Linked DNA regions of Mus musculus: all the other regions are reported to be linked to region 1. The links are microRNA targets in miRTarBase. Many come from high-throughput screens and were not tested one by one. Region 1 holds a microRNA gene; each other region holds the end of a gene's coding sequence.
The links. Region 1 holds the annotated microRNA mmu-miR-340-5p (UUAUAAAGCAAUGAGACUGAUU, at 1,685-1,706, opposite strand). A microRNA usually pairs through its seed, bases 2 to 8, with sites in the 3' UTR of a target mRNA and lowers its output. Matches are read on the target gene's strand: a 7mer-m8 pairs with bases 2 to 8, a 7mer-A1 pairs with bases 2 to 7 and ends in A, and an 8mer does both.

Region 1 (3,000 bases):
TCACCTGGTTCCTGTCCCGAGCATTTGTGTACCTGATCTTCTGAATGAAGTAGAATATGAGCCACGCTGAAGAAATAATCATCAAAACAATAAAGGAGATTGACACGAAGACTAGAGAGCCACGGCTGAAGTTCTTTGGCGGCATTCGAGTTCCAACAGCTATTGTCATTTGTACAGAGATGTTTTTCTCCAGATAACTCAAAATATCCTTACCCCTCAATTCTGTTATCATGACAGCAATAATATCTCCCGTGCCTGTAATGTAAAACAAATACACAGACTAAAGTGACATCTGAAATTCATAGACACATCAAATAAATATACACATATGCTCCATAGAGAAATTACCATAATTTTCACTAAGGTTTATAGATTCCAGTTCAACTGACATGAGGCTGCAGCTGTGTAAACTGACAGGCATGAGAACATGTACAGTGCTCCAAACAGGTAACGCATAAAGCAACTGTGGTGTTAACAATGCACAAACTGCCTTACCGGTGCATTAGAAGCACTGTGAAAGCAGCCACCTGTGACTAAATCAGGTTAAGTCTTCAGTAGAAAACCTTTCTATAGCAATCAATCTGGAAAGTTCTGACAGAGAAGCACTGTCATTTACAGTCTGAACAGGTGGTCCTTGCACTACTCATCCTCACACGCACTGCTGAGCAAGGACTGCTCTAAGAAACAGAAAGAAGGGTACTTCTTAGGGCACACACTTGGCTATGGAGTGACAAGTGCCGAACGGCAACATCTTTTACCAACAACCTTTGAAACTAACTTTGGTCTTCTGTCTACAGTAAAGCTCCTTCCAGGGCACTTCTGGAGCTCAAACGCAACAATTTTCCCACCCAGTTTGGAGCCAGCATCTCACATTGCCTCGGCTAGCCTCAGACTTGAGTTTTATGTTAGTTTTCCACCTTGTTTAACCATGCCCAGCGCACTCAAATCCTCTAGGCAGGCCCAAGTTTCAACTTTCTGGACTACTACCCATAATGATACCTAAAACCTTCAGTTCCTAAAAGCTGTTCAGAGTTCTGCCCACAGGCACAACTTTTATAAGTTAATTACAAGGATGGTTCAGTTGTGTTTTCAAGTCCTTTTCTCACATGGCTTCAAGGGCCTGTTTTAAGTCAGAGTGAGCAGCTACTCACCAAGGTCACTTTTGTGAGTATGAAGGAGGATTGTGCATCCAAACACAAAATACCCTCTCAAAACAGCAAGCAGAGACCCCAGACCTGACCTTTTGAAGGCTCTGTCAACAAATATTAGAAACACTTGTTTTGATTTCTTGTTACCTTTAGCAGTCAAGATGAGACACAACAGAAACTCAGTAACAGAAGTTTTGAAAAAAATATAGCTCAATGGAATATATATTTGCATAATACTGTATTCAAAACGGTTTATTCACTTTATTAGAGTAGTAGTTTACCAGTTTATTTTTGCTTAAAAAATCTATAAACAAAAAGGAGACAACAAAATTAAAACTAGCATTATTAAGTTAACATCTGCCTCTGGTGAGTGAGTTAAAAAGAATCATAAAAGAATGCTAAACCAGTTTAAATTTCCATTTAGAAACCTTAAGTTTGTGCTTTTACAATGTTGATCAACAGGCATGATCTGTGGTGTTAAGATACCAGGTATGGCTATAAAGTAACTGAGACGGATCCCACAAACGACATATGACAATCAGTCTCATTGCTTTATAATCACACCAAGTACAATTGGTTTTAGAAATCAGTTCTGAGGCTCCCTCTTGAAGACTCAAGCTGGAAGTGGGGAGAGCTGCACAGGTAGCCAAGGCAACCAATCCAGTAATTTCCTTAACCGAACACTAAATGGGCGCGTCAACTAATCTCAACAGGAAGCTGTTTGGGAAAGAAAAATTTAATTAGTTCAACACTTGTCAATATTCACTGTTAGGAGGACAAGAGTGAATAGATCTCACTGTAGCTTTATCATCCTAGCAAAAAGAGGAGACTGGGCAATGTTGCCAAAGGAGACTGAAAATGATCAAATAAAAAAGTACAGCAGCACATCTGATATTAGTGAAGGCAGTGATCTCTTACAGAAGGTGATGAAGCAAACTACAAACCCTCCTAGGAAAAAAGTTTCTTTCTCCCCAACATCTAGAGCTGGGCTGGGTTCAAAGAGCCTAACAAGATGGCTCAGACATTTACAAATGGGGATGGGACTAAAGAGATGGCTAAGAGCACTGGTTGATCTTGCAGAGGACGAGGTTTGGTTCCCAGCATCAATATGGCAGCTCATAACTACTGTAACTCCAATTCTAGAGGGAACAGACACTCTCTTCTGGCCTTCGAGGGCTCTGTACACATGGTGCACATAGACTCATGCAGGTATACACACACACACACACACACACACACACACAATAAAAAAGTAAATAAACCTTAAAAACAAAACAAAAAACTCTTGGGAGAGTTGGTGCAGATTCAGGAGGGATGATGACAACAGAGGAAACTTAACCCTCAGGATAAAACTAGGATTAGAGTAGCAGTAGCTGGTAGGAGAGAGGGGTTAATTAGACTGAAGTAATGGAAACATTAAACAGATACAAAGAATGTGACCAGATCACCCCTATGCCTGTGTTCTGAAACACCAAGACATGGCTTTGGAGTTCAACAATCATGCAGCTATGTGTTCCTTTTCTACTGCTGTGGTTAAACATCATAGCCAACATAACGTATACAAGGAGGGGCTTGTTTGGCTTATAGTTCCATCATGGTGGGGAAGAATGGCAGCAAACTGTAGGTAGGAACTGGATGCCAAGAACTCACACCTTTTTAAAAACACTGTTAATTTCAATTATGTGTTTATGTGTGTAGCTTTGTGCATGCAAGTTATAGTTGCCTGTGGAGACCAGGAGTCACAGACCCCCTGGAAGGGGGGATACGGGCAGTTGTGAGAGACCTGTTGTGGGTGCTGGGAATTGAACTCAGGTTCTCTCCATGAGCAGAAGAATGCCCTGGAAACCTCTGA
Region 2 (5,290 bases), not on the chromosome of region 1:
ACCTAGACCCTCCCTCTGGTGCCACAAGTTCTGGGCTCGACAAGGTCTTACAGGAAGCCCACACCTGCCCTGTCTCATTTCCTGTAGCCATCCAGCCAGCACAATTGGTTAGAATCCTCTGCTCACTTTATTAATGTTAATATCAGGGAAAAAATAAATCCACCAAAGAATAAAACAAAATGAAATTCTGTAATACAGCCCCAAGGAGACAGTCTACACTCCCATTTCCTCTCCAAAGCAATTAAATCCTAATTACACAGACCCAGAAACATTACAGAGACATTTGTTCTAGCGCTGTAGACTGCAGTCGTGGGAATAAATCATATTTGTAAATCTAAGAAAGCACATGGAAAAAAATAATAAGAGTTATTCACTGGTAGCACATACATATAGATCACTTCGCTGGTAATAAAAGGTTTTGTTACACACTGAAGACAAATGAAATCTTTTGATTGGTTCCTATCAAATTGCAAACAAGATGATTTTCTAGATATACCGTGTTTTTTAAAAGACAGGGTATTTCATTTTTTAATACAATACACAAAGTATCTTCTTGCACTGTTAGTGGAAGGAAACAGTTGAAGTTTACAAAGACCGTAAGCTCAGCTAACTATGCTTTATGGTTTTAAAACATTCACTGGTGAAGCCCTTGCCAGCCTAACGATGCTACCAAGGGATGCTATGCACCAACCACATTGCAGGAAACTAAGACAAACCAGCCACCTAAAGCCTTTAACAAACGGTTAGCAACTGCTGAAGCTCTAGCAAAATCACATCACTTAAAATTACATTTACATAAACAACTCCGGTTCATCGCCTTCTCTCAAAGGCTGAGGCTAACATGATACTCTAATTCTCTGGTAACAAGGCTTCCCAGTTTGCTTCTACCACTGCAATAATGATCATGATCAAAAGCAACCTGGAAGAAAGGGTTTATGTCATCTTATGAACTAGTTTTCTTTCTCTGATTATCAGCTGGGTTGGAAATCTCTGAAAAGAGCCACCAGCAACACCACCCCAAACCTGAGTATAAATTCCCCTCATCTCTCTGGCATCACACAGTGAGTCTAGGGCTAATAAGTGGCTGACATCACAAAGTACCAAGCAGAGTTTTCGGCAGCTTCAGACTCACGAGGCTCCTGCGTAGAAAGTTCAAATCCTGCTAGGATATATTCATGTAACAAATACTCTGCGTTCCAGTAAAAGTGCCATATTTTTAAAAAGTGACAACGGAGTGTGGTGGCACACACCTTTAATCCCAGAGCTGGACACAGGTGGATCTCTGTTTCAGGATAGCCTGGTCTACCCAGCAAGTTCCAGAACAGCAGTTTTTTTTTAGACAGACAGACAGACAGACAGACAGAGGGACCCTGTCTCAACCCCCACCCCACCAACTACATAAAGACAAATGGTTAGAGAAGGTGACAAAGGAACTATTTCAATGAAGATGGAAAGGACAAGGAGAAATCAGAACCAACAATCGGTGCTTCCAGATGAAAAGTCATCGGAGAAAATCAAGAGCAGATTGGATACAAGAGAAGAAAAGATGGTGAACTTGAAATCAAAAGGCACTCTGAGGCAATGGAAGAAGTATTATTGGAGAAAACAAAATACAACCCAAGAGAGAGTACAAAGTAATTAGCAAACAAGGCTCAAGTCCCAGAGAGAGAAGCAAGTGAGGAGAGTGCAGAATGCATCATGGGTTAGAAAAGCCAACCACACCAGACCTGTATCAGACTGAATAACAAACAACAAAGCCTGCAGGCAGCCAGGGAGGGCCTGGAGGAACTTCTGGTAGAGCGTGTGGTTAGTATATGAAGGCCATGGGTCCCACCATCAAATAGACAGACAGACAGACAGACAGACAGACAGACAGACAGACAAAAATATAACACAAAGAAAAAAAGATTGAGGTACACGAGGGACTGGAGGAACAAATTCTAATTTCCTGCCAGAGACAAAGCAGGCTGATGATGATGGAGTGAAAAAAGTCTTGCAAGTGTTGACAGAAAGGGGGAAAGAGCTGAAACAACTAGAATTCTACATCTTGCAAAAACAATTTCATTCAGAAATGAAGATATTTTTTCAGACAAACAAAATATGATAGAACTGGTCTGCAACCGTGCTGATATATATATAAATAAATCAGTATTAATTTCTTCAGACTGAAAACGAACCATCCGAGATCTACTCCCAACGGCTTTCCCAGAGGAATAAAGAGCAGTGGGTTCGATTTACGGGAGTAAACACAGGACTGTTGCTAGGTGGCAGTCTGTAGTCCCACCTACTTGGGAAAGTGAGACAGGAGGATAGAAGGTTCAAGCCGTGCCTGGGCTACACAGTGAATCCCAAGTCCAGCATGGGCAACTTGCCAACTGTAACAAAGGACTGGGTGTAAAACATTCACTGGTGAAGCCTCTGCCAGTCTATTAATGTGTTACAGTATATGCAGCCCCAAATTATTACAGATGGCATAAATTATTAAATGCCAGAGCAAACCCAGCCTGCCCCAGAGCTGAGGTCCTTCACCACTGTGCAGTGACTTACCTGTGAAGGGAATAGCGTGTCCCTTTAACTACATCCTGAAGGTGCAAGGCTGACACTGCATTTTGTCAAACCACGACTACACTGAGAAACCCGTGAGACTGTAAAGGCCTGACCTTTCTCACCTTTGCTGAGGAAAGCTGCCACAGATGGGTCCTTCTCTGTCATCTGCCATGCCCTCTGGTACATGGGACACAACTGATTTGGATCTCCACCCTAGCTAAGAGCATCATTTGGTGTTAAGAGAGGCCTATAGCTAATTCCCAAACCCTTGAGGAAGCTGTCTTTGATGAGTGCCTTACTTATTTAACCATAATCTTCCAGTAAGCTCCCAGCATTTACGATAGTGGGAGTATGCTTTTGTTTCTTGCAACTGAAAGGAGCCTGCTTGAATGTCTCTTAAAAATTCAGACCTGTAATACACAGCACAGTAGAATGAATAATTCAGACATTTAAAAATATCACATAAAAGGGATTATACAACCTCAAGTCTGGGCTTTGACATTTATATTAACACAGAGAATAAGAAAAATGTGCAATGAAAATTACTACATAGTCGCTCAAAAGATAAATGAAAATGTGAATAGTTTTAACACCCACAGAGTTCTTTCTAAGCCATTTAAAAAGTAAGCCTTCTTCAAACTGTAATTTAATTCAAGAATGAAGGGTAAGGAAGGCATTAGTAACTACAGTTATTTTCCAAAGCTAACCTGAGAAAAATAAAAGTAACTTTCAGTGCAAAGTTTGTTTTTAAGGTATTTTCTCAAGACATAGGTAGACACGTAAGTAGACAGATAAACAGACAGAGGTACCAGTCTTTCACTATACCCAAGGTAGTCTGAGAAGATGGTATTCATTATACCTAATTAAAATTGACACAAGGTAATGAGGGTTCCCTTCAGCTGTGGAGTGAACCACAGGTTAGCCTGATCAACTCAGGGAGCTGGGCAAACACAAACTTTCGGTTACTATGACAACACTGTTTGCTACTCACCATCCCTTTGTCTGTGAAATGACACCATGGTCTTTTATAAGCGCTTTGTGAAAAATAGATTACGACTCAGGTACATAGCGTTTCAGCTGTACAATGCTAATCCACTCAGCTACATATTACTAACCAAGCTCTGGTGTTGCAGCCCAGCAGCTCTGGCCCATGTTCACACTGTAATGTCCAACCCATTATCGGACAGAGCTGAAGTCAGACACAGGAAACAACTGCTTTTTAGTAGCTAACAGGATAACGATGTCAAGTATTATCCAAGCCAACATCAGTATTTTGGTCTTAACATATTACATACCTAAGATATACATTTTCAATCATATCAGACTTGGAAATTACCTCTTCAAGCCAGCCTTTGAGCCTTAATAATTAACTATATGTCAGGCTGCATTAGCCTCACAACACAGAGGCCGTGTGTTGGCAGCTTTCAAGCACAGCTAAAGCCATCTCCACTTAAAACTCCAGGGGTGTGAAATTAAAACAGCAGCACACACGTGACTAGAGACATCTTTTCTGTGATTTACAAAAGTTCTGTGTCAAAGACACGTTTCAGAATCTACATGACTGCTCCTATGGGCCTATTAGACAGTACATAAGCATTAAACAGTGTATTAATTAATCTTATGTGTAGACAAGGACACACACACAGGTACCTATGCATTCATATACAGTAGACCAATGGGAACTTTAAAGCAAATACTACAGAGGGTAAGGAGTGAGGCCCGGCGGTGCATTATCTATAATCCCAGCAGTGGGGAGGCCGAGCAAGGCAGTACTCGCATGGAGAGTTCAAGGCCAGCCTAGCATACACAGGCAGACCCTGTCCAAATCAATGAGGAAGTAAGGGTACATCGTAAGCACGAAGGCAGCCGTAACTTACTAAGGTATCAGTCAAGTTATTGGCCATGAAAATTTCACACACTAGAAGATAAAACAAGGGGGCAAAATTTTTATTGCACTTAACCATAACACACAAAATATTCAACAAAAACCCCAGCCAAATCCGTTGCTAGGTGACAGGTATGAATCATTTATATATAAATGCATTAGTACAGCACAAAAACTTTCAGGAAAGAGTACTAACTCACAAATATGTAATTCTTTCTATTACATTCTGAAGGCAATAGAAACTCTATCTCCACTCATACAGACCCCTAACAAGTCTAACAAGTTTAACACATTTACAATCTATTCTGTAACAAACTACAATGTAATTTGTTAAAATTGCAATATTAACAAAAATGTTAAAATTAATCTTCAGAGTAAACCTTTACTCAACTCTTGGCCTATGGCATGCTCTTCCATCTCACAGAAATGAGCTTGTTCTCAGATCCAGTCTTCACTGGCTACTTCCTGCTTAGAACACATGACACCTTTCTTCTGTTGGAAAGCTCAAAATTTAAAACTCCACCAGCCTCCCGGTTCAGCATTTTCTCTTCCTCTTGGGCGCAGTGAACTCTGTGGATACAAGGTTAAGAACTCCATGGATTAAAATACTGACATCTAAATGAAAGGTTTATATAATAATACACATTTTACCTGCATATATTTAAAACAGACTAACCCAACCAATAATGTCCCACAGCCAAGACCCAAGAAGGAAACAGGTAGATAAATAATGCGCACTCACACACGCACGCACACACACACACACCACGCACACACAGACATTAAAATGCATAATATATATTAAAATGTAAAGATACATATATAATAAAAGCTACAACATGGTTCAGGTTGGGCTAG
Region 3 (5,290 bases), not on the chromosome of region 1:
GCAGGAGCAATCAATGTAGGGGGGAAATTAATGAAGTAAAATAGGAGAGGGAAAGTAAAAATGGTGAGAACTGGCTGGTTATTTCATCCAGCTGGTAATGAATGTGGAAAGAGGAATCCCACATGAGGACAGTGTTACACAGAGATTAACATCCCAATGGCCATTCTTTGTTATCTTTAAACCTCAACCTGGCAAAAACTCCCCCATGAGGACACTGGAAACTTGCAAATGCTGATGCAAGAATCCCCCTGACAGGGACATTTCAGGTCCTCATTAGCCAGGCACAGAGGTACATCTTACAGAGCTTTGTGTCTGTCAATTTCTACTGTCCGAGGCCAGAGTAGATGTGCTCATTTGCTAGCCTTATCATTTGTTACTGCCTTTTCTGTGTTTCCTCAGGTAATATTCAATTACACAGGGCCTGATTCTCTCTCTTCCCCACAGTATTGATGATCAAGGTAGGACCACAAGGAGCTAAGATCATTTCAAAGGGTAAAGTAGGAATCAACAAGATGAGAATAAAGGCAAGTAAATAAGGAAGAGTTCATCCTTTGCAAGCTTAATTTTCTTATCAGTGTATGGATTCTCTGTGAAGTCTAGGACGTAATTATTGCCTGCATGTAAAGCAAGGCACATGAAATTAGGGTACATGCCTCAATAAAAACAACAACAATAAAATACCTAATGACTGAAATGCACCGCAGTTCAATCTGTTTACATATTTTCTTTCAAAAGAATGGCAGAGTTTACTAATTGCTGATTTCATAATTACTGTTTTGGGTTGTTTTTGCTTCCAATATTTACCGAAGTATATCCAAATTACACTGAACACCCATGCATCTTTTCTCATTTTTAAAAAGGGTAAAATGCTTTTGAAAAAAATTGAACCCAATTAAGATTAATTTTAAATTTAAAAAAAGCTGGCATTGTGTGAATGTGAACCAGCAGGAGGGATTTTAATTGGAATAGAGGAGTCTGTAACATTCTCCTCCCGTCACATTTGCTTCATCCTACTTAGTTAAGCTGGTTGGGTTGCACTGAACATGACAGAGATGATTGAAAAAACAACTCATGCCATCTTCAAAAGTTTTAAAGAAAAAGTATTATGAAAATTAATTAAGAATCTTTAGGTTCCCCGATCATGTGCTTAATAAAGGAGGCACGAAGTCTACTCTGAAGTCAAACCCAAGCTGCTCAGAACCTTCCGGCCTGATGTATTTAATGTTAAGAGAGACAAAGATATTCACCTCACTCAATGTTCAAGGGCTGAAGCTGAACTACCTTGAGTTGAATTTTCTTGTGCTTGTCATAGGATGACCTTGTATAAGTTGCTAACTGTTCATCATCTGTGAAATGGGATCCATGGAACCTGACTAAAGAGATGTAGGGGTTAGTTAACTCAGTAAGTCACAGAGAGTAAGTGAGTAACTTTGAACATGGACAGTGTTACAGATCTGCTTAGACTAACTGAATTCCAGAGTCGCTTTTCTTCTAAAGCTCTGAGAATCATACAGCGTGGTCTCAGTACAATGAAATTAAGAGAGACATAAAACTACCTTCCAGGGGAGCTCTTTTGTTCTCCAGGGTTTCTTTCCTACCTAAAGGGATGATGACAGTAGGACTCTATAAGACTTACACACACCATTTACCTTACTAATATCCTTTCTCATAAGTGGGTAGTATCTACAGCTTCAGGTCGTTGGACAGAGTGTCCTCATTCTGCGCCAAGGGGCTCAGTAGTTGTCAAAGAAAAACCTCAATGAGGGGAATCCTACCATACTTGCATTCCTCAGAAAGGGAATCTGAAGCTTTGGAACTGGAGCAAGAGACCATGACCGGCAGTTAGTGAGGGTGTCCTGATGTTGGCAGAGGTATCACGTAAAGCTGGTCCCTCGTTCTTCCATCCCGCCAGCACCAGGAATAAGGACTGATTTATGTATGCTCTCGATCGGTACACTCCCAAAGTATTTGCCTTTTATTAGAAGATACTAATACAACCATCTCAATTTAACTGCCCACACCCCACATATCATACAGACAACCATGAAACACAACACAACACACACACACACACACACACACACACACACACACACACACAAGATGCAGAAAGAGGAGAGATGAGAGATGTGAGAGAGAGAGAGAGAGAGAGAGAGAGAGAGAGAGAGAGAGAGAGAGACTACAGAGTTTTTCCTTTAATTCTTCTATAAACGCCATGCCTACTGTGAAAAGATGACTGGAGTATTTTTGTTCTCATTTCCCTTAGACTAACATTAACTTCTGAAATTGTTTACAAATTAAAAAAAGGAATCATTAGTAAGTTTACAGATATTTAGAGTGTACTATATCACAGCGATCGTTTTAAGCAATGTCTACCTCTGACACCAAAGAGAAAAATCTATGTAGAATGTGGTATATTGAAACTGTTTTAAAAAAAACAACCAAACAAAAACAACAACAATGACAACAAAACAAAAAACAAACAAACAAAAAACCACTTTTGTCAAAACTGTGTGAGATTCTACTAATGACAAAATCAAGCGAGGAGAAATTAGGCATCATAAGTCTATTAGATATTAGATATTTTTGATTTTAGATATTTTTAAATTTTTCTATCAAGCCCTTTGATGAACATAGGAGATATGCTGAATGTAGAAGACATTGTATCAAATTACAGGTTTTACTGACTTAGAAGAGCATAAACAAAAATATTAAAATATTCGTCTAAAAGATGCAAAGTCAAATGTAGGCTGAAAAGTGTGAGGAATGGTAAGAACAGTGTCGCTCTAATGGCATGCCCCCACTCCCCAATGTGGATATATCCCTCCACCAAACCACAATAAACAATGTAGAACAATTTGATTATTATAAATTTTATTAGAATAATAGAAAATCATACATACAGATAACCATAGGATACACACACAGGAATTTAAACAGTAAAATTTAGACTTTTCAATATGAAACAGTGTGTACATCTCATGGAGATGATACTGATAGAAATAACAGGAAACAAGAGAATAGCCATCTTGTAAAAGAAAACTATAGGAACAAATTCTTGGAGTCATCAGAAAATAAAAAAGGTATAGTTCTGTTATGTGTACCATAAAGCACAGGGGTTGGAGAAAGTGTGACCCCACATTTTGACTGGAAATAACAATGGTCATAGGAAATCCACTAGTCATTCGGATTTCTTCTTGATATGTACAATATATACAGACCCTACAGAAAAACTTAAAAAAAAACCCCATTCTTCTTTTTACATAGCAACCTTGTCTTAAATGGAATCTCTAAAGAAGGGTGGGACACTAGAAAGGTATCAGCATTTGGCTAAGGTTTAATGTTGCTTGAGAGCTATACCATCGATTTCCAATTTTGCTACCTTTGGTAATAAGAAAAAAATCCCAGCAAAATGCGAAAATAGTAGGTAAGTGGTAAAAAATTCTAGCACTCAATCTGCTATTTTTCATATACCTTCTACATGTTACTGCCAAGCCATGTCTTCCACAGTCCTTTGAAAATCACATATTGAAAGACTCGACTCATCCATATCAAAGCCAGCAACATCACCATGTTCTTTTACAAATTTTACTTGGGAATGGAAAAGGCTGCCTGGCTCGATGAGATAGAGAGTGGAATTCCATTAAAAATCCATCTCTGCCATCCAAACCAAGAGAGAGTCCCTTAATAGGATCAGAAATTATAAATGAAGAATTATATGCATTTTGTTTTATATTTGGGTTAAGATACAGCTTTTTCATTATTTTCTCTACTGGGATTTGACAAAACCTGAAAGCTTATTTTTACATGGGAAGGGGATGAGTCCTAATTCTCTTTCCCAAGTAAGTTCACTTTAATTTTTAAGGAAGGATAAAATGTATTCATTTCCATGTTCCATCTTTTTCTTTGTAAATACCAACAAAAAGAAACAATGTTACAATCTTCACTCAGGTTCAATTTCCATCTTTGAAGAAGAGGGATAATTCTAAGAAGAGCATGCAATGCCAGCAAGCTTCAAAGAAGTGCCTGTTCTGTGTCACCTTAGTAGCTTCATGTAAGATTCTGCACAGGGACATTGCACATTGGAGGAAACAATGCTTTCCCATTACTTCCTTTGTTTTAAACAACGGATTCTTGCAGTAAAGGCTGATAGGAGAAATATTGTCACCTCATTTTATAAAATAAATAAGTGAAAGATGAGAGGATGAAGTGACAAAGGGAATCTCGCAGCCATACAGTAGCACATTGAAGCAAATGTCACTTCCCCAAGCTCAGAGTATCATTTTCTGACAATACGCCCTTCCAGGCTGCTCCAGTCCAGAATAACTGTTTAAGTGCATTTTCCTCTGAGGAGTCAAATTAGTATTTAGAAATGATAGGTAATATTGTAACAATGGGAAAGGAACATTTGGAATAAATGAGAAATATTTTAGTATAGAAAAACTCTGTGTGTGTGTGTGTGTGTGTGTGTGTGTGTGTGTGTGTGTGTGTGTTTGTGCATTGTGTGTGCTGTGTGTACCGTGTATGTACTATGTGTCTCCATACATCATGTGTGCACTGTGTTTTTATGCATCCTGTGTATGTGCCTCACACATAGGAAAGTGTTTAAACTCATAACATAAGAATATTTCTATCAAAAGTTTGCAGTATGTAATTTGCAAGTTCCTTTGGTTTACCAAGCAAATATTAAGGCATCTCAGATTCCTCTAAAAGGATTTACTGTTTTTATTAGATTCATATTTTACCTATAATGAAGTAGAAATTTAAAAACACATAGCTGAAAACAACATGCATAATCACTGTTTCAGAAAGCACTTTTTTTATGGGGGTAACCAATTAACTTTCCAGGAAATAATAAAAAAAAAGCCCTATCACCACAAAGCATTTACAATAAAGAACAGTAGGACAGACATATAACCTGACAAAGGGTGGATGTTAGAAATGGCTGACGTGGATCCTCTTGCATCCATACCTGTCAAAGATGATAAAGGGCTCATTAGCAAGGGTGGTAATCAGAACACTGGAGACTGAATGTTTCTGTTCCCTCTAAACTTATGCTGAAATCCTGTTTTCAGTTGTAATGATATTCATGCTAGAAGTAGTAGTAGTAGTAGTAGTAGTAGTAGTAGGAGGAGGAGGAGGAAGAGGAGGAGGAGGAAGAAGAGGAGGAGGAGCAGCAGCAGCAGCAACAACAACAACAAAAACAGCAGCAGCAACAGCCTTGAAGGTCTTTAAGGCTCTGGACCTCTCCCTCTGTTTCCCAGGTAACTGAAGAATTTTAAGCATCAGC

Region 2: miRTarBase lists Snapc1 as a target of mmu-miR-340-5p. The part of its 3' UTR that is shown has no 7-base or 8-base seed match.
Region 3: miRTarBase lists Cntn3 as a target of mmu-miR-340-5p. Seed matches in the 3' UTR shown: 7mer-A1 at 4,175-4,181, 7mer-A1 at 3,701-3,707 and 7mer-A1 at 2,866-2,872.

The regions. Positions count from the first base shown.
Region 1 is chr11:50,068,426-50,071,425 of GRCm38, reverse strand. It overlaps Mir340 (microRNA 340), which reads right to left and starts at 1,724; the gene lies at 1,627-1,724. It overlaps Rnf130 (ring finger protein 130), which reads right to left. Exons shown (of 9, transcript NM_021540.4): 3 at 5-255.
Region 2 is chr12:73,983,575-73,988,864 of GRCm38, reverse strand. Snapc1 (small nuclear RNA activating complex, polypeptide 1) reads right to left here. Exons shown (of 10, transcript NM_178392.5): 10 at 1-5,002. The coding sequence ends at 4,968. Among named protein-coding and RNA genes, the nearest start is that of Syt16, 12 kb to the left of the region's middle.
Region 3 is chr6:102,160,447-102,165,736 of GRCm38, forward strand. It overlaps Cntn3 (contactin 3), which reads right to left. Exons shown (of 22, transcript NM_008779.2): 22 at 2,860-4,972. The coding sequence ends at 4,872. Among named protein-coding and RNA genes, the nearest start is that of 4930587E11Rik, 100 kb to the right of the region's middle.